3 linked regions of the Kluyveromyces lactis genome follow. The main gene of each other region encodes a partner of the protein of the gene in region 3 in a complex. Links are inferred from orthologs where the notes say so. Each region holds a gene or a part of one and is shown on either strand. Other genes may lie near its edges. The genes, in order: SWP82, SNF11 and SWI3.

Region 1 (7,168 bases), on a different chromosome or scaffold from region 3:
TTGGGACAGAGTCGTGGACGATGGATTTCCTGACAGTAAATATTTAAAACAACGGGTAAAGGCTCTTATTTTCAATGATGAAGTGGCCATAGGGGCCCATATCGACAGGAAATCAAAATCTTCCTCGGCTAAAGAAACTCTAGTATCGGAAAAGATCAATCAATGCTCCACAGATGATCAAAATACGTCATGCAAAGATTGTGAGACATAAATAAATGTTACAAGAACTGAAAATCTACCTTTATAACGAATAACTGTAATTCATAACTATATAAATAACTAATACAGGATCACAAGTACATTTTTAGGCGGCTTGAAACGTTGCAGTGGTAAGCTCATGTAATTCTTTGTGTTAATACTAAGTCTTGTCATATTCCTTTTCTTGATATGAAACCCGAATTTTGAATCGAATCAATTATGGAAGAAAATAAGTTTATTGACGTTCTTTTAACAAACGAGAAGGAACCTACAACCCTTGTTGAACAAGTATTGTGAATTGGATATTGCTCTTGTTATTCTATTGTAGAGTGAATTCAATCTTAATAGTGTAGGGCAGCACACATCGTTTGAAACAAAAGATGTTTGTCCACTGGTTGGCTGTATTGTTCGCATACATTACCGTTGCAAATGCAGCTGCAATTGCAGAAGCGGAATTACATGAAAGTGCCGTGTCTGATAACGATATACTAGATGCCAGTCATTCTTTACCTGATTTGGTTCACATGAATGCCGTGCCTTCAGATTGGAAGACCAGCGGAGGTTTGGTTTTGGAGGAAGGGAGACTTCGTTTAACACCAAGTGCATCCAGTCAAAGTTCGATTTGGCACAAGACTGATTATCAAATTAAGGACTCCTTCACCATAGAATGGACTTTCAGAAGTGTTGATTTTATAGGGAAATCTGAAGGTGGGTTGTCCTTCTGGTTAGTGGAGGGTAAAAGTGCAGGAGGAACTTCTTTATTCGGTGGACCAGAGGCGTTTGATGGGCTTCAAATTTTGGTGGATTCCAATGGGCCCGTGGGTAGTTCTGTTCGTGGTATCTTGAACGACGGGTCTAAGAAATTGACTGAAAAAAATGTGTACGATCATTCTTTTGCCTATTGTTTGTTAGCCTATCAGGATACTACTATTCCAACCACTATCAGATTGAGTTATGATAGGAAGAACAATAACCTATTGAAACTTCAAGTCGATAATAGGGTGTGTTTCCAAACCAGACAAATTCAATTCCCACAAAATGCGAAAATGAAGATGGGTATCACTGCAAAGAATGATGCTAACAAGGAATCATTTGAAGTCCTGAAGGTACATACTCATAACGGTCTTACTAAAGAAGTTACAATTCCAAATGTTAACCCTATGGAACAGCCTAGATTGGTAACAAAGATTATCAACAAGGATACTGGTAAAGAAGACGTTGTAGAAACAGATTTCATGAAAATGAAGGGTTTAGCAAATAAGGTGGACAACTACGAACTTTACAAGAAATTGGATAAGATTGAGGGCAAGATATTAGCCAATGACATCAGCGTGATAAACGGTAAATTAATTGGCATCTTGGAAAATCAAGCAGCGCACTTGAGAAAGCTAGAATATCTATCAACTACTTTAGAAGTTATTGTGGCTTCAATGGGTAAAGAAGGTGAAGTAAATACAGAATCCTTCAAGGACCTCTTTGTTATGAATGATAAGTTGGAGCAATTACTTCAGGATCAAGCAAAGATTAGAGAGGCCACCAAACAAAGCATGGAAAATGCTGGAAATGGCGTTTCAGTTGACGAAATCGTCAAGAGACTCTTAATGTGGATTTTGCCTCTAATACTAATCGTTTTAGTTATGGCATACTACACTTTCAAAATTCGTCAAGACATTGTTAAAGTTAAATTGTTATAATGAATTATCCTCTATATATATCTGCAGCTTTATTGCATAGCTTTCTACTAGCAGTATTTAGTTCGATATAGATGAAGTTGCATTATTATTCTAAGGTTTTTCAACATAAGGTGGCCTAAACCCTGACACATTGGAGTATCCCAAAAAATTTGGATTCGGTACTCGCTTAACGGTACGCTTTTCATCTACATTCTTCGTTTCGTTTGGCACAATGCTCACATCAACATGGTTCAAAACTTGCTGTAGATATTGCTCTTTGTAATACGAAAGTTGATCCTCCGTAAGGCCAACAGGTGCACCGGCCTTATACTGCCAAAATTTAGTCCAACGGGTGTTTCTTAACTTTCGGACATGGCCAAGAGCTGTATTCAAATGAACAACATCATGGGATCGTTCTAAATCTTTTATTTGGTTTGGCGTCAATAGTTTTAACCTTGCAGGAAGTCTCGCCTTATTATATATCGGTAACCCTCCAGCACTGAAAGTTGTAGGTAACTCATCATTTGTTGTAACTGGTAGCTGCGTAAATTTCCATCCAGGAATTTGAGCCAACACATCTGTCTCCTCCGGGGGAACATAGTTAGCTTTACGTCCTCTACCAAAGTTATGAGATTCTACCGGGTGGGTGTGCGTTCCAATCGGGGAATCTAGAACATTGTGTTGTTGAGCAGCGGCGAAGGAATTCTTATAGTGGTATTTTGGAATTTTGTAAATAGTACTCAACTCGATTGCTCCATGTATAGTTTGACCCGATATGATTGCAGTTTGCTCACCATGAGCAATATTACTTAAGAACTCTTTACGTGCTTCTAAAGGCGGTAGTTCCGTAATGGTTGAAAACGGGTCTTCGAATTGCGGTTGTGATGTGGACATAACGCCCGCTTGTGCTTGCTTCGATTCAGGAAGCTCAGGTGGACCTAAAGAATGTGCTGTTCTAGTCCTTGGATCGATCGAACATACCATGTCGAGAAGTTTTTGAGAGAGTGCGTATACTCTGTGCTGCGCTTGGAAGCCCTGTTCTTTGGATAGTTGTTCCCAGTAATCATCTATCACTCTTGATCCGGATGCTAGTATAGCAGCTCCAAAGACAAGAAAAGCAGATCTAGCTGTGATATATGTTGCAGCAGTAGCACCTTCAGGTAAAAGTTTATACTGGGTCAAAAATTCGATAATATCATGTTTTGCATTAATTGGGTAAAGGTCTGGATGCTGAGCCAAAAACTCTTGTTGTTCCACATCTAGATTCAAGACTCTAATCAAATCCCGTACTAAGACGTACAAATTTTCCGAATTATTGTTTTCCGCACATGGATAAGTGAAAGTAGGAAACAAGTAATGCCTTTCTCCATGTAACCGTCCTTGTTTATCAACCTTCGTTTCCCCATTTTGATCACCCTTTCCCAAAACATAAGAGTCATTGTTGTCTGATAACCTTTCCTTAATGGTGAACGAAGGTAGTACAAGTTGCTTTGTTGGTGGCTTGTCAAGTCTGCCGGAGAGTAATTCAGGGTTATTGAGTATTGATAATGTGGTTTTCAAAATAAAAAGCTCATGGTTCTTTATGACATATTCTGGCACCGGATTCACCTGAGCAGTGACAGATGAGTTAGTACTGGAGTCCATTTTTCCAGCATGTGAAGATAAACAAATAAACGTATCCTGTTCAACAGCCAGAAAGGTCTCGTGGTGTTCCAAATATAATTAGGATGGATGAAAGTGTCGCAGCTTATACCGTCTATTGAATTCTTTCACGATGTACTTTGAAAGATATGCATATGTTTACGTTTATGTTAATGACAGGCATTCGATAGTTAGATTACATGTTGAAAAGACCCAATTTCAAAACAATGGAAAATACATAAAGATACTGATCACGTGATGACCAGCAACTGACACAGCAAATACCCGACAGTTAGGTTACATACAAACTAACGTATCTAAAATATAGGAATAAAACGGGATTCTTAGATAATAGTGCCGGTGGCTTCAGATGTTGGTAGTGTCATTCATTGAGCCAACTTAAGATTTGCAAGAAGTTCTTCTGAGGCCTTGATATAATTCCTGGCGTAATCATCAGTAAAATCTTTTGATGGAAGGATCGGGTTAGCATTCTTGTCAAACATGGCGCCTGAATGAGTTTCCAATTCTGGGGCAACTAGCAAGGGGCCTAACTTTTCAGCGTATTGCTCTGCAGTCTGATTTGTCATACCTATGAACCATTCTACCACTCTTGACTTCCAAGTGTCTTTACCAAGGTAATTATCTCTAATATTTGTCCTGATGAGCCCCGGATTCAACCCATAAAAATTGACAGTAGCAAACCTATTCTTAAAGTCCAAAACTAGAGCTTCATTACCGGCTACTGTTTTCATATGTGTGGAAATAGCTCCGTAAGATTCTTCTGAATTCAAATCTCTATAATCTCCCATATAGTTATCACCGGGGAAACCCATTACAAATACGCGAGGTTTTTTCTCACCATGTTCCTTCAATCTGGGTACCAAATGATTCATCATCACTAGTCGGCTGATATAACTGACGGCCAAATCTTCTTCTAGACCTTCGCTAGTCTCACGTCTCGCTGGAGGAGCCAAAACTCCCGTAGTGAAGATAAGAAGATCCAACTTTTCAGCAGGTAACAATTCCGCAACTCTGGATGCCTCTGACACCAAACCTAGGTCAGCCTGGATAAATTCAATACCTTCAACATTTTCGTCTCTGAACGTTCTACCAACAACGATGACTTTAGCACCCTTTTGTGCCAACACTCTTGCCAACTCACGGCCAATACCGCCCGTTCCTCCTACGATAGCAACATATTTATTATCTAAATTGAGTTCAATCAATTTTTGAGCCTTCGTATATACAATATCAGGATTGGTCTTCATGGTTGTTTGATGTAAGATTAGTCCGATGCAATTACAATAGATAGTTCCCCCTTGACTCTTGGTAATATTACTGTGCAAGCTGCATATCTGCAATCAACGTTGCACTAAGCTACCTTAAATAGTATCTATATATGATTTCTTCGACTTATTAGTTACGGCGGTGATCTTTTATCGACAATATGTCTGACTAATGACATTGCGATTCGTCCTGAAGATTGTGAACTGGTTTGGCTGTCAACCATCACCCCTATGAGGGGCCGGCCCCTTGAAAAACCGCCTCCATCACGTGACTGAAAGATCTCATGTAAAACTATCTTGAACCACCAATCACCGCGTATTGCATTGGTCCTACGGAGAGTTTGCTTCAAAGTAATCTCGTTCAAACTTCGTTTCCCAGATGACTGTATTCATCAACATTTGACAACACTGCGCAGCGACTGAATGTCTTGCTTGGTTAACCTGGCTCTACAGTCAGCGACAATTCCATTTTCAACAGTATGCTCAGAAGGGTGCACACAAATTGCACTGAAACAAAGTAAAGTTAGAAACATAAATAAAAAATATAAATATCAAATATAAATACGGTAAAAAGAAGGGGCGATTAATTTTGCCGTTTATGCAATAACCTTGTTTTAAGGGTATCAATGTCTGAATAATGTCATCGATAATAGAAGTGTTGACATAACTATATTAAAGACAGGGTAGACGGTCAGATATATAGTAGTGTCAGTATTTTGAACGGAGAGGAACTTGATTAAATCTATTATACAGTTTCCCCCAAAATTTTTCTGAAATTGTGCCGCTAACTGTTCATTAAACGGTGCTTTCTTACAACAAAAAAATAAGCATGCATTTGAATTTCCAATCTCTTTTGCCTCTAGCTTCATTGTTATTGGCTTCTTTTGATGTTGCTGAAGCCAAGATTCATAAGGCCAAAATTCAAAAACATAAATTGGAAGACCAATTGAAGGATGTTCCATTTGCCGAACATGTGGCTCAACTAGGTGAAAAGTACTTAAATAGCTTCCAAAGAGCTTACCCTCAAGAATCTTTCTCTAAGGATAACGTTGATGTTTTCGTTGCCCCAGAAGGGTCTCACAGTGTCCCATTGACCAATTACTTGAATGCTCAGTATTTCACAGAAATTACTTTGGGTTCGCCACCACAGTCTTTTAAGGTTATCTTAGACACTGGTTCATCAAACTTGTGGGTTCCAAGTGCAGAATGTGGTTCTTTGGCATGTTTCTTGCACACCAAATATGACCATGAGGCTTCTAGCACTTACAAAGCTAATGGTTCCGAGTTTGCTATCCAATATGGTTCTGGTTCCCTTGAAGGATATGTGTCTCGTGATTTGTTGACCATTGGGGATTTAGTGATACCTGACCAGGATTTCGCTGAAGCTACCAGCGAACCAGGTTTGGCATTTGCCTTTGGTAAATTCGATGGTATTTTGGGGTTGGCTTACGACTCCATCTCTGTTAACAGAATCGTTCCACCAGTGTACAACGCTATCAAAAACAAACTTTTGGATGACCCAGTGTTTGCCTTTTACTTGGGTGATTCTGACAAGTCTGAAGATGGCGGTGAAGCTTCCTTCGGTGGTATCGATGAGGAGAAGTACACCGGTGAAATCACTTGGTTGCCTGTTCGTCGTAAGGCTTACTGGGAAGTCAAGTTTGAAGGTATCGGTTTGGGTGAAGAATATGCTACTTTAGAAGGTCATGGTGCTGCTATCGACACCGGTACCTCTTTGATTGCTTTGCCAAGCGGTTTGGCTGAAATTTTGAACGCTGAAATCGGTGCAAAGAAGGGCTGGTCTGGTCAATACTCCGTTGATTGTGAATCTAGAGATAGTCTACCAGACTTAACTTTGAATTTCAACGGTTACAACTTCACTATTACCGCATACGATTACACTTTGGAAGTCTCTGGGTCTTGTATCTCTGCATTCACTCCAATGGACTTCCCAGAACCAGTTGGTCCCTTGGCCATTATTGGTGATGCCTTCCTACGTAAATACTACTCCATTTATGATATTGGTCATGATGCAGTTGGTTTGGCCAAGGCTGCCTAATTGTTAAAAAAGCGATCGAATTGTAACCTTTTGAATTGGAGTTCAGCTTCTATTAACTCGACAACTCTAAAAAAATAATTAAATAAGACGGTTAACTTACTGCTATATTAATTGAATGTCAGTTTCACAAATCGAATTAGCTAACAAAGTATAACAACACTTGGTGACAAATAAACCTTAAAATACCTAAAAGAATTCTTTCCTATTTCATCATAAAACAATTGTGTTCCTTCCTCTAAATATATAGACGATGGACATTATTCAATTGGCTTTGGCTTTGGCTACCTATAAATGATTCATAAAATGTCGAT
Region 2 (5,892 bases), on a different chromosome or scaffold from region 3:
AACATTATCTTATTTAGTATCGTTTATATATACTTTTCTGTTAGAATACAGCAGTTACCAGGTATATCAGCTCAGATAACTACTACATGTAAAAGTTGCATCTGAGAGTTGAAATCCACCTTGATCTTCTTATTTTACTGCCGGATGATGGTTTGATTTTTCCTGTTTCCTTTTCATGCAAGTAAGGACCTGTTCAAGTCTCATACTCTTCCTTCACCAATTCTCTAACCATATTACACCAAACTTTGCCATTGCTTGAGATGACGTCTTTATTGTCACCAACAGATCTGAACCCGATTCTTTCATAAAATGGTACCAGCTCGTTATGGGCAATGATAACAATTCTGTCTCCGATTTCTTGGTTAGACATCTTTTGGATGTAATCTGTCAATAGTAGAGTAGCTAGGTTCTTCTTCTGATGTTGTGGAGCAATGACGACAGAATGCACTCCAATGACAGGAGAAGAATCGTCTTGTGTGAAACTCATGCTTTCGTTGGTAATAAAAGTTAATTCCTTGGTACCGTTTTTTGGGATGGGGATCTTGGTACCAAAGATATGGCCAATCAACTTTTCTCCCAAAATCTCAGTGCCTTTAACGTCTCTAATGAAAAGACCCGAGCTCAATTCGGGGCACATCTTCAATCTGAATTCGATCTTCTCCTTTCCAGCCCTTTCTTCAGGTGGGAAGCCTTGTGCCTCTAGCTCTACTGATGCTTGGCAATCTTCTATCGTTAATGGTCTAATATAAACATGCAGTGGCAATGACGATGACATAGTGAAAATTCTTTTCTGATTTTATAATACTTAATAATGATTTCCTAATGTTGTTTCTTCAATTCTAGCCACAATAATACAATTATTTGCTCCTTATTCTAGTTTGCTTCTAAAATCAATCGAACCTTATTATCAACAATGGTATTCAACTCCTAGACCAATTGATTTTATCAACTAGTGTTAGACAGATATGATGTCTTTGTGAACTGCTCAATAACGGAAGTGATAGTCTTGTGAGATGTGTGTCTATATGTATTTGTTATCCTTATCCTTATCATCATATGTAAAACCTTAGTATATATGATTGATATTGCAATTGAATTGTTATTTTGATATTGTACAAAGGAGAAACAACAGTTGCGGCAAGAATATAGAAATTACGCACCACTTGGTAGGAATTTGTGAGTGATAACCAAATCTAAAGTTGACAGAACCTGTAAATACCGGACTGGCAAGTTGAATGGTCACCAGAGGCTTAATCTTGGACCAGAACGCCAATCATCACAGCTGGTGAACAGTGTCTCAGGGACACCTGATGTTCGTGTTTAGTGAGATGTCATGTGACCCGTACCGTCCGTTCCTAGCGAAATTGCATGTTGTTTAAGCCTTTGTAGCCAACAGCACCATCAAGTCGATGCCAATAGATACAACATTCTTGGCCTACCTTGTAGCAGCTTTTAAGGCTTTTTATGGGCTCATTTCTTTACTTTATTGCCTTCTTTCGGCCAACTACGCTTACTTTCACCATACAATCACATATTGAGAGAGCTTTGAAAGTTTCAAGAAATAAGTACCTTTGATCAAAGAGATAAAGCTGTGAGCTGACGACAACTACTGTCTATTAGTATCATTAGACTATTAAAACCTCCTGCTCTACTACTGCATCAACACATATTTATAAAACGACGGGATATGAGTAGTGTTTCAGAGATTTTGCCCCTAGAGGTCATTGACAAAACAATAGGACAGGAAGTGACCATTCTACTTAAAGATTACAGAGAATTCTTTGGTACGCTAGTAGGGTTCGATGATTACGTTAATGTTGTCATTGAAAATGCGGTAGAGTATTTGGAAGACCAGGAGATTAAAAGATTCCAGGGAAAGATGTTATTGACTGGTAACAACATTGCTATGTTGATACCTGGTGGAAAACCTGCTTCAAATTAAACAATGGAACTGCATATTGATGTTCAAAACGAAATCTGTAACATGCATGCTGTTTTTTTCTCTCTCAGATGTTTGGTATTGATATATTGACTAACATCCTTTGTAAGTATATATTATATATTTTATATGTAAAATAATTATCATATTGAAGTGCAGCTTATACAAAAAATGAATCAATGCAAACGTACGAGACGTTTGATATACCGTATCCGAAGGTTTGTTGATTTTTGTTGTTCAACTATATCATGCCAAGGGATCGAAAAACCATTCGATCTTAGTGTTTTCAAAAACTCTCATACCCATAGTTTTTGACTCTTTCATTTTGTCCAAGGTAGGATCAGCCCTGGTTATTAGCCAAGGCTTGATAACTTTTGGTTGCAAGACGTATTTGTTGATCAAGATGTATGAGATTACAGCATAAACGGCACCGACGAATAAATCGTATCTGAAATGGTGATCCAAATATTGGGTTGACCACCATTGTAAGCATACGAAAATCGTACCCAAAAATTTTGGTAACAGACCTTTATGGAAAATGTAGAGCCATTTGGACTCTAGAATATGAACTGGCAAAACCTGCTGTTTGGCAAGGATTTTAGCAACAGCCAACGTATTTAGTTCTGAATCCGAGTCAGAAGTCGTTGCGCGTGCTTCCAAGTCGTCATCCCCACCGTTAGTTGTTTGTAAAGTTATGCTATTAATATGTGAAACGAGTTTACTTTCGACGCTGTCACTATCATCAGCAAAATCGTCATCCTCGAACTCGAAGGGAATAATGGATTTGTTAGGTTGGACCTTAACATTCGTATAACCTTGTTCTTCTTCATCTTGTTCTTCATCCATCTCATAGTCATCATCTTCATCCTTTTGAAGAATGACAGGAGCAGCATCCGTAGCGATCGATTCCGGCACAGATTTCGTTTGTGTAGACCTGAACAAAAGGAAGAAGAAGCATTGTACAGCCATAGCCGAATGTAGTGACGGCACGGCACCGAACACGATTGGCGAGAGATGGAACCCATTCGAATTGAGATGAGTTCCAAGATGCATGTCGACCCTAGTCAACCCAGCAGCGTAACCCGGTTGACTGTAGTTCAAATGAGCCGTATCATGGGCACCGTACATATGTATGAACCATGGTGGAGCCATTGGTAATAAAAAGTGAGTGAAGAGCCCAACGATATTTTGTAAACCTAATGCGAATGAGAAGCATTTCAACGTACCTGGGATGTGGAAAACGTACAAATACACACCAGTAAGAATGGGCCCAGTGAGATGCAGAATCACGTACATCACCCAAGCCAATAAGTCCTTGAACTTGGTGAAATTCGACGGATCCTGACTGGATAAAAGGTGATCGAAATTCAACATCACAAATGTAAAGAACAAGAATAGAAAGGGTAACACGTTTCTCATCCTGCTAGGTCGGAATTGAGATGAACCGATATAATTCAAAGGGTATTGTAGCAAGACGTCTGTCTCATCGAACAGGTTATGCCTCAATTTCTTGGTATAATAAACATAGTACCAGATGAACAATGGCACCACAGCAAATAAGATACCGATGATACTACTGCTCACGAGAGACACCACGAATTCCAACCTGGTATCAAGAGAATGCCAGTAATCACCAAAAATATACGCATCACAATAATAAGCGACGCTACCCCAAATGGGTGGTCGCCAATTGGTAGGTATGACACCTGCATTCTTGAACATAAACAACCATATAAAGATTGGTGAGAAATTCAAACAAAAATTCAAAGCCAGTGTGAAGACATTGCGTTGATTTACACCACCCAAATATACCCTTTTGATGAACCACGGGATCCAAAGTAAGCACTCCATGTCTTGGAGTAGGGAACTTTCAGCTGAAAACGAAAATCCACACACAGACAAACAAATAGAAAGCTTGTTAACTAAATACTATCAAAGGACGATGAGATAGAACCTTGAGAAACCTTAGAGAAACTTTTGATATGCAAAATGATTCGAAAAGAGAAATACCAGAAAAAAACCTGAAAAAAACCACAAGGCAAAGAGAATAAACAGCGGGTGGCTTAAGCCTGGATTCCTCTTAATACCTTGCCACTACTTAAGTTATCGACTAGATGAAGTATCAAACATCACAAGATTAACAAGATTTACTAGTTGGCATTAACGTCTATCAACAAAATGGATGGACATATTTGTATATATATTTAATACTTTATTTTGCAGAGAGTTACGTATTTTAAGATGGCTGCGGATTTAGTAAAGCAATTCGAAAAGAAAAGAACTAATATGGCAAGGAACAGTTTCGGTAATAAAGAGTTTCCAGTTGAAAGGTAACCGTTTTATGGTGGATTTTCTGATCGGACGTACTGCCAGCAGGGCCGAAAAGAAATGGGTGAGGTTCCTACGCTGGGAACTGGTCCGTCTTGTGACTTAAACCCACGAAAATATGCGGTAACTTGACTGAGAGAAACTGAGAGATGGTACGTTTTTCGTCTGGCTATGGAATTAGGTAGGAATTCAGTTTATGCGTCCTTCGTTGTGGCCTAAGGCTAAGAATTTGTTGGCTGAGCTTTTTCTATTGTAACTGAAAACATTGTTTGGGATTTCATAATGTGGGGGAATAATGTGAATCGATAGTTATAGTTATGTAATGGTGGCATTTTGAGGCGTTGAAGGGGTGGCAGTAAGGGAGGAAGAGCATTCGTCATCAAAGTGGCTGAGAAACTCTTGCTGTTTCTTTTTTATCAGTCACGTGTTACACACGTGACTGAATGTGTTTTAAACTTAGAAACTTATGTCCTATGAATAGGTGACCGTATAGAGCACGAGTGTCTAGTGTACATAGATATGGCAGCCCAGGGATTTTTGTGATCTTGGAGTGCCTTTAGTCGCTATTATGAACTGGATACTTAGTGGTTTTTTCGTTCCGCTTGAAAATAATTCAAATCACGTTTTAATTCGTCTTACTACTTTGACAGTGAAGGAAGTTCAAAGATAAAAAGATCGACTGACTGACGACTACGGAAAAGTACCCTGCACCCACCCTAGATCAGCATGACAGATCTAAACCCAGCAATAGACCTGAAATCAGACTCAGGAGTCTCACCAAAGCAGAAGCTACAATGGAAAATACAAGTGCTTCTTCATATCAACTCGATGTTGATCAAAAAATCCCAAGAAACAAGAACCATGTACGAAAGCAGACAGGTACCGACACTCGCGTCGCTGTCCAAAGAACAAATGGAACAAATACTAATCCAATATACGAAAAGAATACACTGTAACTTACATACAATATCTCAGATAAATCAAGGAAATCTAGCAGCAAAACCTCCTATCATGGACCCTCCTCCAAACCCATTTCTTTCAAACACTGCTTCAGCTCAGGAAAGACAACAGGATATGCTGGTCAAGATGTATCTATTAATGAATAGAATGTTCCAATTATGGTAGCTTCAACGAACACTGTGCGTACATTGTGTGTACACTGTGTGTACATACATAATATATAGATAAAACGCTCTCATTTTAACGCTCTCTGTAGTTACCTATAATAATACTTGCTCCATTCCGGTATCAGCACCGTATGCAGCAATGCAGCAATGAAGCATAGAACGATTGCGGTCCTTGATAGGCTTCCACAGACATCACCAGATGTTTATCTGTCTTCGATATTCCCTTTAATTCTCAAGTTTCCTGAATTTTTTTTCCGTCCGTGCCATCATGATATGACAATGGCAATTGCCATTGCCATTGCCATTATCAAATCCTCTCATATGGACAAATAAATATAAATATATACAAGTATGTCAATTACGTTAAACGTACTAGTGCTTCGTGAGTATATTTAGATTAGCACTGATTCTAATTGGTATTCTCATCGTTATAATATTAGATAGAAGATCAATCGATTGGACTGGGGGAATAGTTCCATTGTATGAGTGTTTAAATTT
Region 3 (7,791 bases):
GTTTCAATGAACTGGTGATAGAGTCATCACCATCATCGTTTTCGTTGTCACTGTCATCACTGGTTCCGAATTCAATCTTCTTCATGGCATTCAATTCTTGCTTTATTTTTTCATAATCTGAGTAGTTCGTTAACTTGCGTCTCAATGTCTCTAATTCCGATTTATAAGTCTGCGTTTCAAGTGCAGATGATTTCAATTGTGAGCTCAACGTTTGGGATGTTTCCTTCAAACTCTTGCGTTCTTCTTCTAAACATGTAACCAATTTAGCATTTTCACTTTCCAATTGGTTCAATTTAGTCTCTTTCTCTTGAAATATGGAATCCTGTTGTTCATCGCTCTTCAATTTGGTTACCTCAGAATTTAATTCTTCATTACGTGATTCAAGACTCATGATACGAATTTGTGCAGCCTCAAGTTCTTGTACCAGAAGCTCACTTTGAGCGCTATTCTTTCCACTAACGAGAACGGTGTCATCATCGCCATCTTCTTGTTGCTCCAAATCGACCTGAGCACCTATTTTCTTTTCCAAGATGCTATTGGTATTTTTCAACGTTTCTAACTGTTTCAATAATTCGTCCTCTCTATTATTCCAATTACGTTGCTTTTCTTCCCATTTGGATGTAATTTCTTTCTCTTTGGCGATTAATCTATTGGATAATGTCTTAGCCGAATTTTGTTCAAGATCCGATAATCTTTTCTTTAAAGTGTCATAATCGGCACACTTGCTAACAATTGCCGCCAATTTTTGGTTTTCAGCTTTGATATCATCGACATTTGTGCCATCTTTCTTCAGTTCCTCTACAATAGACTCTAGGATCCCTGTTGGGTCCGGTTGTTCAATTAACTTCTCATATAATTCGATAACAACCTTTTCGGAGAACGTTGATCTGGTAGTCAACGAATCAATCTCCTTCTGGTATTCTTTCACTAATTTCAAAGATTGGCTAGGTTTCTCATCATCTGGCAATTTCTTGTACTTCTTGGTCTCACTGGCTAACGTTTTTCTTGATTCCAAGGATGAAGTTTCTAAATCCTTTATCTTAGCTATGCTATCATCAAGTAACGATTGTATACTGCTGAAGCCAGCTTCTTTCCACAATGACAACGCATGCTCATATGTAGACAAATTCATCGCAGAACTTGTTACTGGGTCCTTAATAATGCAAATCCGACCTTTACAACGAATACCAGTATCATTCAATTGTTCTGATATTGGGAATATTAAATATCGTATTCGTGTTTAGTTAAAGCTATTTTTTTTGAAGGTTTCCAATATTTTCATATTTTAAAGACAATATAGCATACGGACATAATTCCTGAAGACAAGGTACAAAGGAAAAAACAAGTAGGATTTACTCCAACGAAGATGTTGCATTTGGACAAGGAGAGGCTTGACTTTTTGTGTTGTTTCAATAGTTTAAATTAATATAATGTTACGAGGCTATATAATACATGAATATTGTCTATATTATTAACCTGACCAATAACGATATAACTGCGGTGACTCAATCGATATTGGTTTGTTGGCGGAGTCTAGATCATCAGAATCTTGTAGATTACCCGATTGGGATGTGATACTTGTCTTTGGTGGATCAGCAATTATGGTACGTAATTCGTGTAATTGCTGTTTGATTTCTGGAGATTCCGGAATTTGCTTCAGTAAAGATTCAAATTTTCCCATAAGAGAGTTGGCATACTTGGTGAAGCTTAGCCTTTGAATGAAAACATCTTCTTGCTTCCTATGCACAGCCTTGCGCTCTAGTTCCAAGGATTTTTCCATGGTATCAAGAGCCTTCAACTTCAAATCGACTTTTGTTAGTTGAGTATTGATTAAATCATTTGTCGTCCTATTCATCAATTTTTCTTGGTTGGTAGCGAATACATGAGAGCGTAGCCCCAAGGTAGCTAGAGCGACTTCTGTGCCGTCCTTCACTGTTATTCTAGCATCAGATTCAGCATTTGTGACCGTTACTGCTTGTTCTTCTGGCAGCTCTTGTTTTTCCGATGGTGTTTCCTTGTTTGATAATGCTTCATTCTCTAAAGATTCTTCTTGATGAGGTTCTTCCACTGGAATCGCTTCTTCTTGACTACCTTCCTCTTTATTCTTTTCTTCCGCTTTTTGTAGCCCTTCTTCTCCTGTTTTTTCAGCTCTTACTTCTGTTGCTTCTTTTTCTTCATTCTCTGGTGTATTTGCATTTTTCTCATTTGAAGTGTCAACAGTTACATCTGAATTTGCTACTTGTTCTGCTGCTGGAGCAGTTCCTTCAGTTGCTGTGGAGTGATCTGCGGCATTTGAATTTGCAGGTTCAGATTTTTCAGCTCCCGTTTCTGTATGCTCAATTTCCCTGGCGTCAGTTTTTATTTCTTCTTTTTGTTCTTCTTTTGATTCCTCTGTTTGTTCTTCTTTTTGTTCTTCCTGCCTTTCTTCTGCGTCTTTTGCTTCCGTGTTAGCACCCGTATTAACATTAATGTCATGAAGAGAAATGGCCCTTTTAGTCAAATGCTGAACAATGTTAGGATCGACTAACCCTATTAAAAATGCCAACGTACTCATTACGGGGTTGTCAGATTTATTGAAAGGAATATGAGAACCAAACTTCAAGAGTCCGAGATCTTTTTCATCCATCAAAAATGCATCTTCAATAGGCAATTGTAAAAACCTTAAAATACATTGCTCCGGAGTCTTTGTTCCTAGAGTTTTGGCAATGTTAAACCAATCGGTGCCATGCTCTTTAATAAGTTCGATAAGTTTATAGATTTCTTCTTGGGTCCAATCTTTGTCAATCAGTTGAGAAATCTTTGGTCTTTTGGGTTTGCGATCGTTTCTCTCAAGGTCGGCATTCACTGGAGACTCCTTTTCATCCTTCAGGCCGTAGTTCTCTGGTCCCACAGAACCCGAAGCCGTTTTGTTAGTGATACCATTAACGTGACTGGATCCCCCGTTTGACAAATCTTGAGTGTGCTCACTGGAGATTTCATCACTAGTCCTTTTCAAAGATGATGGTTCCGAGGGTTTGGTGTCTAACTGAGTCATTATCTTTTTTAAGCGGGTCATATCAGGAAGTTGTAGGGCCGGCTTATAAGATTGGAATGGGAATAATCCACGCGGAGCATCGTATCTCGTCTCATATTCACCAGTGAATGGGGGTTCAACCATTTTAGGTTTCTTGGTAGCATTTACTTGATAGTTGATCAATCCCCATTTGGTTAAGAATTTATGTAGTCTGAAGAGGGCGCCCGCGTCTCCACAAAGGTTTCTTCTAGCTGCAGTGACTGTGAAGTATTCATTTGGATTTAGTCTATAAGAGTTTACCATGAAGTTACGATATTTGACGTACATCTGGGGTGTCTTTGAAGGTATTCTATTAGTGAAGAATTCCGGTAAAGATTTCACTTCGATTTCATGAACTTTGGTCAAATTAAACCACTTCGAGTATGAAGGGATTACAATTTCATGGGATTGCGGTACAAATAATTTTGGATCAGCAGTATTACTTTCTTGCTTTACGGTTATATTTGATTCAGGAGAAGCTGATCTCGATTCTTGTTCAAGAATACTATCTACTTCAGGTTCTGCTTCTGCTTCAGTATTGTGCTCTTTATCAATTTCTTCATCAACTGTTGTCTCTGTTGTAGTATGTACTGGAGCATCTATACCAGAATCGGGCTGCCCTAAGTCCTTCACGTCTGGTAATTTGGGGTTTTCAGTAAATGATTCTGGTTCTGGTGCTGGCTCTTGTTTGTCATTGGCAGTTTCCAGTTCGTTCTGTGCAGGTTCTACCTCGCTCTGTTCAGTTTCTATATTTCCAACAGGGTCATTGTTCCCCTCGCCGTTCGAATCGCTTTCCTTTTTAGTTTCTGGCAACGCGATTTCGTCATTCTCTTTATCCATTTGTTCGTCCTGTTCTTGTTCTTGTTCTTGTTCTTGTTCCTCATTACCTGCTGCGGTAGTATCGTCTTCTTTAGATGGGGATTTCAACAAATCAGATTCGGATGCTTCATTAGCAGGGTTTTGTTCCTCGGGTTCTTCCTCAAATAGATCTGCATCGTCCGCGTCACCGTTCTCATTATCCAGATTCGATAAAAGCTTATCGTTTATTCCTTCAGGGAGGTTTTCGGCCAATGGTGCATCGCCGAACTCTTCAGGGAAGTCTTGCGGCAAAGATTCTGAGAATTCGTTACCAAAATCATCAGGTAGATTAGGTTCAACGTCCATGTCCAAGTTATCATCAATTCCTCCCATATCTACATCCTCGGTATGGTCTATCAAACCAGGTTGTTCTGACGTGTTTTGGGTATTCTCTACTGAGCTCTGAGTTTGTGCAGACTCAAGAACAGAGTCCCGTTGTTCGTCATCTGCCATTAAAAAATCCGTGTATAAACTATAATCTTCCTCAGGCGAATTGCTTTCCTTCACTTGTCAACAAAGAAGTGGAGTCAGAATAACTGATGAGTGATGACAAGCTGAAAAGTAGTAGCAATGACGCGAAAATTGATCGATGCTTTAGATTGAACTGGCCCAAACCTGACTTAATGTCTGTTTACTTGAAATTGTTTATTTTAACATTGTTAAAACAGGACGAAACATCTTTCCTAAGGAAGACCATTTGTGTCCGGGTAATAGATGATACCTTTGTGCACGTGATATGTTAAGTGTTAAGATCCATCTATACGAAAGTATACGAGATAGAAAGAACTATTACGTGACAACTCTTTTATCATATACGAGATAGAGAAGTACAAATAGAAGAGAAGAATCAATCTTATGCCAACTCATAGGATGATTAGGCATTATATAATGGAAAGATGATGGTGGGGAGAGGGAGGAATACAGACCACACAACGGTGTATAATAAATAGTCAATTGATGTCAGATACAGATAATATGAGCGAAGGAATATCATCATGTCAGGGTAACACTGAACAGAGAGCTTCCGGGACTCAATATGGTAGCGCCACAGGTTCAAACAACAAAAAGCTGTTCAACAATTACTCAATCAAGGAAGTAACAGATGAATATAGTTCGAGTATTACACGGTACCTAAAAGATAACATCTTTAGTCCTTTCCCGTGTGAAAAGGCAAAATATGATGTTCATATCAGAGAGGTCAAAACAAAAGACTTCTTAGAAAAATGGTTGTTTGATATTTATAAATACTTCACTTATTGTGGGTATGAAGATAAGTTTGACTTCTCAAATACAACTCTATTCGACGGTATCAATTCAGATCAAGTCGCATGGTGGCAAGACGTATATGAAAGAGTAGTATCTCTACCAGAAAACCCAGAATGGTTGGAAGCTCATCGAGAGAAATTCCGTGAGGATTATGCCGACATTCCCACCATTGCTATGGACTATATCCATAAGAAATACAATCCTTATTTACTGGAGCATAGAGTCAAATTCTTCGAAGTAAATCCTCGTTACAAGGTGAAGGGTTTAATAAAAACTTTAACAGACTTAGTTGAAGCTTTCAAAAAATGCAATTTACCTCACTTGGATACTATCCTGGCCGACAAAGTGTACAGACATATTATGATTTACCATGGTTTTGATAGCATACATCCCATCAGCAAACCACCTACAAATCAAACCACTGAGATAATCCTAGAATTAAAGAAGGAATTGAGGTTTAGCAAAATGACTAAACAAAAGAGAACACTCGAAAACACTGATAGGAGAATCGATGACAGGAATAAATCCTTCAAACAACGGAATAAATTCTGGGACTAGAAAAATCCCAAAAACTACAATGGTCATCCAAACAATCTTACAACCGACAACTACTGATTCTTGGTAGGAGGAGTGGAGGATAGGATATAAGTGGTTCAAGTATCAGATAAAGACTACTTTATAACGGATGAACCTGATCCACAAATGGATTTTCATATAATAGTCAATTTAATGATTAAAGAGAGTCCGGACTCCAATTTTGACCGTATGAAACAAAAAGGACGTTTCTACATTTCCTCAATCCAGGCGTTACAAAGTGTACCACGGATAGCACAGACCAAAATAGATAGATCACTAAGCTATCAACAGGCACTCTCAAGGAATGATAACCACACTGAACGTAAACAATTCAGAGAAGCTTACTGGTCTGTAATATTCTAACTGTGCAGAAGAGAAACATGGAATCAGACTTTACTTGACATCAAAGAGGTAGAACCAAAGAAAGGTCTTAACATGATGTTAATCTTCATTACCGTAAAGAATGCGAAGACCAACACGATGATTAACCTACAAAAAAGGGTTGGAGGCCAATAAAATTCACTAATATGCATTAACTACAGTGTTGAGTTTAACACAACTAGATATAATAACCGCGTGGCTATTATCAGATCTGAAGAAATTCTAAATACAATCGTGTGGACCAAACCCTATCAATCATCGTTTGTACATTTGTAGAAGACATCACATTCATTGGCACTGATCAAGGGCAATTGACACATGTATGGATTCAATAGTCGTGAATAATGGCTTGATGGAGGAGAATGGCGTATCCAACAACGACTTACTCGGGATAGATATTGAGTACAGAAGAAATTATCATATTAAATTCGAGATGAAGAATATATGATCCCCACAAGCATCCGCTATTGATATTCCATAATGTGATAATTCCAAATATAACAATGTTGTTATACCTACAACGACTTAACAGCTTGTGGTGAAAGCATAGCGATACTCGCCAGATAACGGTGTATATTAAATAGTCAATTGATATCAAATGCATATAATACGAGCGAAAGAAACGTCATTTGTTCAGGGTAGCTTGTGACCAGAAAGAATGCGCATTAGTGGAAATTAGGTCACCTGACCTTCAGTTTGCTTTTCTCTGTTTTTGCCTGTTTCTCAGATTTAACTTTTTTTCCGATTTCAAGGGTCCAATAGGAATAACTTGGTGCGAGCTTTTTCTGAAAAAGATCTCTCACAGAGATTACAGCACAAAAGCTGTTCCGCATTTGAATGACGGAACTTTAATTTTGAAAAGAATTTTCCTGTTAATTGTTCCGTGACACCCATACATCGCACTATGTTCTCGGATCTCGTTGCCACTGGTTACACAAAAGTGCCACAATGTCGTTTTGATATAGTGTAGAAGACGACGTAACTGGTTTCCTCGACAGGCGAAAAAAAATCACTCTCGAGCAAAACTCATTTTCTATGTCTGTTTCTGACAGTTGTTGCTATTCGATTTTTTCGCATTCTACTTAGTAAAGAGCGCTTTGAAGTCCTGCCACAACTAAGCCCAGTTAAAGTTCTTTCGCAGTGTTTCACAATCTAATAGCGTTCTGTTCTGTGGGAAAAGCACACCTCTTTTGCCGATATACAATAACTTGGATCCAGTATATACTCTTCGGTGTCTCTCTCGTACGAAAAAGTGATTTGTACGCTAGAACTAGAGACGGGCTGAGCCATAGCTTAATTTTTGGGATAGCGGCGTGTTTTATTTTCTGCAGTTTCTTTTAATGTTCGAATGATTAAAGCATTATTCATTCATTGCTGGGAATGATTTTTTCCTTTTTCAGATCAAACATACTGATTGCTTCCGTAACTGATCCTTTCTTTTGATACATTGTTGGTTCGTTGCCTTCGCTATAATCTGTTCTATATAGAGTTTTTTTTTCTATTTTTCTTTTAAATTCTTATCGTCGCGTCATCGCTCATCAGTACCTTTCTGTAGTAATACTCTGTAAAATTCTCAAGATACACGGTACGTCGAAGTTTAATAACCACTGTGTGGCATAGCCTCATCCTCCCGGTTTCTATGTTTACTCTACTTCGCT

The links.
Region 1: the proteins of SWI3 (region 3) and SWP82 are in contact, whole or in part, in a cryo-EM structure (PDB 7EGM), measured with the Saccharomyces cerevisiae proteins. The link is inferred for Kluyveromyces lactis from reciprocal best matches to the Saccharomyces cerevisiae genes SWI3 and SWP82. Residues at the interface, in NP_012359.1 of Saccharomyces cerevisiae: Ile299, Pro300, Gln301, His303, Arg345, Asn348, Phe349, Asn352, Ser353, Leu356, Asn357, Asn359, Glu360, Tyr361, Phe362, Ser363, Thr365, Thr366, Arg369, Asn370, Leu399, Pro401, Lys402, Ile404, Glu405, Pro406, Pro407, Arg415, His416, Asp417; in NP_116605.1 of Saccharomyces cerevisiae: Leu240, Arg241, Pro242, Ser243, Phe318, Val320, Tyr442, Gly445, Leu446, Pro447, Leu448, Tyr449, Glu450, Thr453, Glu456, Arg457, Glu468, His471, Leu472, His473, Asp474, Ala475, Val476, Val478, Asn479, Thr480, Leu482, Gln483, Arg486, Lys487.
Region 2: SWI3 (region 3) and SNF11 share a complex: the UniProt entries of both Saccharomyces cerevisiae proteins name them as parts of the SWI/SNF global transcription activator complex. The link is inferred for Kluyveromyces lactis from reciprocal best matches to the Saccharomyces cerevisiae genes SWI3 and SNF11.

Annotation. Positions count from the first base shown.
Region 1 is NC_006040.1:501,928-509,095, forward strand, and holds SWP82 (Swp82p), read right to left. Parts: upstream 3,516-7,168; coding exon 1,983-3,515; downstream 1-1,982. Other genes in the region: KLLA0_D05841g (SelT/SelW/SelH family protein), read left to right, coding at 1-211; KLLA0_D05863g (uncharacterized protein), read left to right, coding at 579-1,892; KLLA0_D05907g (putative short-chain dehydrogenase/reductase), read right to left, coding at 3,899-4,780; PEP4 (proteinase A), read left to right, coding at 5,628-6,857. UniProt on the Saccharomyces cerevisiae protein: Involved in transcriptional activation. Component of the SWI/SNF complex, an ATP-dependent chromatin remodeling complex, which is required for the positive and negative regulation of gene expression of a large number of genes.
Region 2 is NC_006041.1:899,251-905,142, reverse strand, and holds SNF11 (Snf11p), read left to right. Parts: upstream 1-4,993; coding exon 4,994-5,392; downstream 5,393-5,892. Other genes in the region: PAA1 (polyamine acetyltransferase), read right to left, coding at 194-775; RNA-binding protein LSM5, read left to right, coding at 1,688-1,942; IPT1 (inositolphosphotransferase), read right to left, coding at 2,186-3,790. UniProt on the Saccharomyces cerevisiae protein: Involved in transcriptional activation. Component of the SWI/SNF complex, an ATP-dependent chromatin remodeling complex, which is required for the positive and negative regulation of gene expression of a large number of genes.
Region 3 is NC_006037.1:578,926-586,716, forward strand, and holds SWI3 (Swi3p), read right to left. Parts: upstream 4,364-7,791; coding exon 1,472-4,363; downstream 1-1,471. Other genes in the region: CCAAT displacement transcription factor COY1, read right to left, coding at 1-1,132; KLLA0_A06446g (uncharacterized protein), read left to right, coding at 4,868-5,734. UniProt on the Saccharomyces cerevisiae protein: Involved in transcriptional activation. Component of the SWI/SNF complex, an ATP-dependent chromatin-remodeling complex, which is required for the positive and negative regulation of gene expression of a large number of genes.